2 linked regions of the Sus scrofa genome follow. The protein of the gene in region 2 interacts with the protein of the main gene of each other region in a pairwise test. Links are inferred from orthologs where the notes say so. Each region holds a gene or a part of one and is shown on either strand. Other genes may lie near its edges.

Region 1 (3,658 bases), on a different chromosome or scaffold from region 2:
CAGATCCAAGCCGTGTCTGCAACATACACCACAGCTCACAGCAATGCCAGATCCTTAACCCACTGAGCAAGGCCAGGGATTGAACCTGAAACCTCATGGTTCCTAGTCGGATTCATTTCCTCTGCACCACAAAAGGAACTCCTCTACTGTTCTTTAAATGCTTGCCTTTTTCATTTGAAAATGGAATCAGAAAGTCTACCTTATGGTGGATTTGCCCATTTGGTGGGCCAGGAGGAGCACTGCTAGAACCCAGTGACTGAGAGTTTCTACAAATAGCCAAGAACAGCTCCTGCCAGTGGGCCTTGCTTGGCCAGAAGTAACCTGGTGGATGCTATGATTCAAAATGGTTCAACAGATACCAATCACCAAAGCCAGACAGCAGTCATGATGGGGTTAAAGACGACCTCTTTAGAAAATTCTCTGATCCTTCTACTTGGGATTGGCATTAAAGAAAGCTACTTGCCCTTACCAAAGGATCATGTGATCACTCTAATATATCAACTAACATACCACTTTAGCCCTCATTTTTCACCTTTTTCATATCTGAGTCCATTCACCTAAATGTGTACAGCTATTTTGATGGATCAACTTGTTCATCCAGGACAGCTGGAAGGGGTCTGTCAGTGCTTTCACTGTGATAATCTAATTTTATTTACTCCTCTTACCAACCCTTCGAAATAGGTGAGGACATAGATTCTAACTAAATTAACTGGCTGGCAACAGGATCATCAGTCACAATGCTTGAACTGGCTTTTTACTGCCTGCTCATGCATTCACAGCGGAAGCAATTTTCTTAAGTACATGTTCAAGGCAAACAAGGGTCACCTGGTGTGGATGTAGCTGTTGAGAGTTAGCTGAGCCTCATCTTGAAGGGCTGCGATGGCGGCAGCATTCCGGAAACTTCTCAGTTCAGAACCACTGTGTGTAGGAACTAGAAATGAAGACCAGGAAACTATGATAGGCAGCACACAGGAAATGCAGATGGGGAAAGCACTCTCTGGAAGTGGATGGCCAGCAGGAGAATGTGCAGGTCCCCGTGGCTATTGGAAATGGAGAAGCCAGACTAAGAGTATCAGCTTTCTTGAAAACCATCACCTCTTTTTGCCAGGGGTCAGTCTGGACTTGGAGGTGGCTGAATTAGGTGGCAAAACAGGGGAAGAAGAAACAGCAGTTTGTGTCTGCTTACCAGCTTTGAAAGTGACGATGCATTTTAGACAGGCAAATTCAGTAGCGTCTAACCGGAGCTGTCTAAACCGAGCCACCACCTCTTGTAAAGCCTGTATTTCAGATATGATCTTGTTCAGCTTCTGGGAATCTGTGTTGTCACCATTCATGCCTAGAATAAAAATATGGAATAAATGCTCAACATGAAGGGATTTTCATGATTTAATATTGATTTTTGACAAAATTCTGCATATCAATATCTATTCAATTGTCACTCTAAGATATCTGATTCCATGTAAACTGGCTATATTGTATGAAAGTTAATATAAAATCTTCTCTTGGATGATAACAAACACAGTAATTTGCATTTAAATAACAATGCAAGCAGTCATGAATACAACAAAACAACATTATTTGCATTTAAATATAGATTTATAAATGACAGGTATACTCTATTGTTCAGCAGGAATTTGTTATTCTTTACATGTTGTTCTTTTTTCAGTAATGTATTTTTATGGTAATTTCTACAACAAAGTCATTAAATTGTGCAATTCTTACCAGATACAGCCAGTAGGGTGTTAGCATCAACCGGAATGGCCCATTGTGCTATTCCTAGAACAAACAGTTCTCTCCAAGCATCTTCCAAAAGCATCAGCTGTCATACAATAGATGTATAATATAATATAGTGTGTAATTTATAAATTTATAAACAATTTCAATATGTAAATTTCCATTATTTTAAAAAGTGTTTTAAATGCCTGTCTTGTTAGTTTTTCCTCTGAATATTCTAGCTTCCCCTTATTTCCCCGTATTTTCCTTTTTGAAAAGGTGCCTATACTTAAGCACACACATTTGAGAGTCACTCTAATTCCCCAAATTTTGCTTCCCTTGGAAGAAGGTTTACCCTTGTTGTCCTTGCATCCATTTGTTCCTGACCACCTAGAAACTTCCAGGGAGACCTAGGCTCTTATGAAATGCTACCAACAGCTCAGCAGGTGGATTTCCCTCATAGAAAATGTTGATATTATCAGGGTTGAGGCTTCCAGGCTAAGCATGCAGATCTGGGCCCCTATCTTCCTGGAAGGTTGAGGGGGCTGGGCTGGGAGAGAAAGAAAGAGATCACTAATTCCCAAGAGACATGCAGGGAAATCAGGGTGTAATTATGTTAATCGGGTTTTACTGAGTTTACCTCATCTTACTGCCTGATTTTTGAGACTCATAAGTGGACAGCATCAAGGTGCTTGTCATTTTCATTCTATTAAAATGTGCTACTGAATATGTAAAATGAAAATCTGGCTCCTTTTCCGAATTAATATACTGGATTCTACTTCACTGCAGTTTGCTTGTTACTGAAGGGTTTCCACTGAAGGGCTAAGTGGCAGACAGTAAGTAAATTTTGTTTGGATTACAGAGTCTACAAATACTAGTTTTGAGAAAAAATAGCCAACTTACACACATACACACACACAGAGCAAATGGCCCAGGGCAACCAGTAAAACTAGTCAAAGATAGAAATTAACCATCCTGAAAAATCTGTTTTTGAAAAATCTCTCAAAAAACCAGTCAATTCTGGATGATTTTTGTGATAGGATTTTCTTTTGAGAGGACTGAATTGTGAAGGCTTGTAACCAAAATCACAATCAGACCAAAAGGTTTAATTTTCAAAATGTTTTATTTTTAGTTTCATTGTATTAAGTACAGAAAATAATACTTTAAAAATGCAAGGTAAACAATGTCTAATTCTGACCATGTCTGAAAGTCCAGGCCATGAAAAAAAGAACATCCATGCTAGGAGATTAAATGTTTTGAGCACATTGCCAGGTCTCTCTGTAGGAAACGTACTTCATATTAAGGGGCACTATTATGCTTTAATTAGGTATAAAATGAATTAAAGAAACAAATCCTTTGCTTTTAGAACTACTTATTAGCCTTTTGGGAAATTTGTCATTAATTTCCACGAATGCACTGGTAATAGCCAATGGTTGTGAATACTTCATTTTCTTTCTTTCCCTTAAGGGTAGAAAAATTCTGGCACAGGCCACTTCTGACATTCCTAACAACAAAATTTCTGAGTTTTGATATGATGCAATTTTAAAGGCACATAGTTTTTTCCTCCCTCTTAATGTCATTTACAACCACAGGATTATGTGTCAGGCCTACTTGTTTACAAAATCTCTCAAAGCACTTAATGAATCAAGGGAGGTGTGCAATGCACCCTTTAATTCTGTATGCTGGTAAATCAGTGGCCAAAACCAAGCATCACAATGGAAAATATAAAGCTGTGAATATAAAATAATGAGACTAATTCATAACATCTTACAGGGGAATGCTCTCATCACCTTCTGTTTCTCTCAGTTCCAGTGTTCATAAGAAAACATTGTTTTATTAACAATTTTAGAAATCATTAGATTTTTAAAAATGTTTGATTAAATTTGACATTTCAACTAAAATAAAAAAAAGATAAGGATCTTTTTGTGTATTTGTTTTTGTAGAT
Region 2 (3,658 bases):
ATGATTACTCTTATTGTCTGCTTCCTCGCCATAAAAAGAAAAGCAGACTTGGAATTGTGAAGATGTGCTCGAGAGAAATGGGCTGGGAGTACACAGCCGTTCAGAACTTCGCTTCAGAGGCACCTGAGAGCCAGGGCATCTTAATTTATGTGCAATGGTAGAATGTTAATTTCACCATAGGAAACTCTTAATTCATTACCGTGAATTATGAGAAGTCGTGATTCTAGTTACTGACATCTCGCTTTGAGATGTGACCATGCTATTTATGTTCAGCCAATTCCAGGGTGGGAATAGGTGATTAAACACAATGAAAGGAATCAAGACTTTGTAATTACTCGTGCATGAAAGGTTTACCTCACCTGGGTCGCAGCACCCGTGCACCCATTGACTGTCTCAGATAGCTTACGTAGCTTTTCATCTCAGTGAAATTACTTAGCATTAGCCCTATAAAACATATTTTAAATGTACTTTTTAGGGGGGCTTCTTTGGGCTCTGCTACTGTACTAGTCCATTAGGAAAAAAAAAAAAAAAAGGAATCTTTATGACAAGCAGAGAGTTAAGGAAAATATCTCTTCTTTCTCTACATATATTTACAACTGTGACAGTAAAAAGCCTTCACCATAGGGCCTTCCCCTCAGCTGTTAGATTTCTCGTCTAAGGACAGAGGCACAGAATTTTCAAGCTGGTTAATCTGAAACTGAATAACCTATTTGGGACCTCAGTAAGAAGTGTGGTTTTAATTCCTGCTTGACAGACACTGTGTTTTGTCTTTTAAACAAGCAGCTCAATATGTAAATACGATGTTACATCACGCAAGTGTTACTCCATATTTGGTGATTTAGAAAGGCTTTGGATCTCCGAAGACGACAAATCCCCTTCCGCTTGCTCTTGCTTCATTAATCATGCCTTATACTTCTGTTCATTTTCCTTCTAGTCACAAGACAGCACAGAGAGATGGTCATTGCCATGGGCGGGGCGGGGGGCGTGCAGAGGGGCTGCAGGGAGTGGGCGTGGGGTGGATAAAATCCTAACCTGCATGTCATATAAGCTACATGTGGTGGATTCAAGAAAAATATTTTGTTAATGCAGCTTCCCTGGTAGCAGATTTCTCATTTCCCTAGAGGAAAAGTATCTGAGTGTCATGGCAGGAAGAAGGAAGGAAGGAAGGAAGGAAGAAAGGAAGGAAGGAAGGAAATGCCATGTTTGATTTTAATGATCAAATTCCAGAGGGGGAGAGAGAAAAAATGTGACATTTAATCCCCTCTGGACCACTGACCCACTATGGTTCAACTAGGTCGAAGGGACAAGTTCCAGGGAATCAACTGATTACAATTACAGGCACTACCCTTCCTAAAACTGGACAAACCTTCTGCCTTTCTAGGAGTAGGGGCAGAGAAAATAGGGGGAAGTGATCCACTGACAGGCATGCAGGTTTTGTCACCACAGGATCTCCACCCACTTTGTCTTACATGTTAAATCACTGTTGTTTCATCAAAAAAAAAAAAATGTTTGAAGGGTCACTATATAGTGTTGCTGTTTATCACTTAGAGTAGGGATTTAGGTCCCTCTGTTAGCCATTAAATCCTTTTCCCTTGAGCTGCTGAGAACCCACACCCCTAACTACCTCTCTGCTAAAATTAACCAAAGGAAGGCGAGCTGTTGAATGTGTGTATGTATTTTTCCAAGAGAATTTTTACATTGTGGTATAGCAGAAACAGTGGAAGTCTGGACTGGACATTTGTAAGGGTGACATGTGGTTGTGTAAACCACAAACAAAATCAAGATACATCTGTCAAAACCACATCAGAGACAAGAGAGAGCACAGAGAAGCATTTATCATTTAGCTGAGGAGGCAGGCTGCAGGGAGCAGCCGTTCCTGTCAAACCAACCTTTTGAAATTTCCAACATGCCCTTAAACTTTTCGAGTAAGCATGTCTGTGCGCTTCAGCAACTGCCCTCTCTACTCTGGCCTGGCCAGTCGAAAATGGCATCTTAAAGTCAAGGTCACGGTGTCATCCCACCACGGGGCTGTGTTTAATTACAGCCCCATTCGGGCTGACAGCCAATATGGATCCAAGGCTAGCCCTGAAGCTCAGTTAACTCTTTCCAACCCCTCCAAAACGTCCCGCCAGCCCACCCAACTTCACGGAAGATTTGAGAACAAATTGCACCCCTAGGGAGGCCTGACCAGGTCTTCTGACTCAAACAGGTCACTGGCTGAACTACAAATGCCTAGACAGCCACTTTGCCTCTGACTTGCCACCACAACTGGAAATGGACCTTGGAAACTGGTCGAGGTATAGTGAGGTTCAACACTTAAAAATGAGAAGGGGAGAGGAAAAGGAAAGAAATTCAGAGTCAGCAGATCCAGAGAGAGGGTATCAGGTGTGTGTAACCTATTCCGCCTACATCTGACTCAGTGAAGTGGAAAATATCTATTTTTGTGTGTTCTGGACATCAGCAAGAGGAATGATTATTTTAACATTACAGGGCTGTCACGGACAGTCACATGGAGAAATACAGAAAGCACTTCACCACTCCTTAGTGCTTGACTACAGCGCCTCTGAAAATGAAAAGAAAACATGCAAACAGCTTTTCTCCTTGCTTCTCATTTACCTGCTATGTGTTCCTGTTTGGGGCAAATTCCTCTAGATGACGTTGATAAACAATCGTCATCCTCTGGCGTGACCTGGATGCCAACCTCCACGGGATTGGATGCTTTTTTCATCTCGATTGGTGAAGGGGAAGGTGGCTTATCCACAGCTTTTTCTAAGCAGAGGCTGCCATTGCATTGTTTCCGTTTGTGCTCGATAAAAATAAGAATGTCCCCCAATGGGAAGTTCATCTGGCACTGCCCACACGTGAGGAGGTCATGGTCCCCTTCTGGAGCTCCCAAAGGGCCGTGGTCTGGTTCATCATCTGTAAGAATGGCTTCAAGAGGTTCGGCTGTGGTTGAAGAAACAAAAGCATAATTATTAGAGTGCCAGAAAGGAGAGAAAAGGGGGAAGTACATTCTTCACCCCATCCCATCCTAGTACATTATGAAAGGATTTCTAGGCTCCTCCATTTAATGCCCAGAAAAAAGTGCACACCTAAAATGTACGTGGATGTGGAAATTGTCAACAAGAAAGCAAATTTATCAATGAGGCAAACCATCATATATTTATGAAAACTGTCTGACCTTCATACTTCCAGCAAACACAGACACACACACACACACACACACACACACACACACACACACCCCCAAGGTTCTGGCCTGTGAGCTTAGAAAGAATGTAACTGTTAAATAAATAGTTAATGCAGAAACATAAAAAAAGCTTAAATAATAACGACCCCCCCAAAAGACTGGTAAAAACATGGATCAAAACAAAATTTGTTTCTTTCTTCCTATAGACTAAGTTGTCTATTGTGCCTGGGAATAAAAGGAGAGGTGAATAAATACACACACACACACATTCTTTGTGTGTGAATGTATATACTCTAAGTATACAGACATGGCTTCATAAATTAGAAAGCTACTACATCACACAGAAAATGTGCTACATTTACACTGCCGTAATAAGAAAACGACTGCATTCACCTGTGAAAAGGATCTAAATAATAATCATAACGCAGCATAATTCATACTGCCAAAAACCTTTCTGATCTCACTCCC

What was found.
Region 1: the proteins of BCL11A (region 2) and NR2E1 interact in a two-hybrid assay, tested with the Homo sapiens proteins (2 studies listed by BioGRID). The link is inferred for Sus scrofa from reciprocal best matches to the Homo sapiens genes BCL11A and NR2E1.

The regions. Positions count from the first base shown.
Region 1 is NC_010443.5:74,283,620-74,287,277, reverse strand, and holds part of NR2E1 (nuclear receptor subfamily 2 group E member 1), read right to left. Parts: intron 1,820-3,658; coding exon 1,723-1,819; intron 1,337-1,722; coding exon 1,187-1,336; intron 932-1,186; coding exon 826-931; intron 1-825. UniProt on the Homo sapiens protein: Orphan receptor that binds DNA as a monomer to hormone response elements (HRE) containing an extended core motif half-site sequence 5'-AAGGTCA-3' in which the 5' flanking nucleotides participate in determining receptor specificity.
Region 2 is NC_010445.4:81,204,229-81,207,886, reverse strand, and holds part of BCL11A (B-cell lymphoma/leukemia 11A), read right to left. Parts: intron 2,947-3,658; coding exon 2,617-2,946; intron 1-2,616. UniProt on the Homo sapiens protein: Transcription factor. Associated with the BAF SWI/SNF chromatin remodeling complex. Binds to the 5'-TGACCA-3' sequence motif in regulatory regions of target genes, including a distal promoter of the HBG1 hemoglobin subunit gamma-1 gene.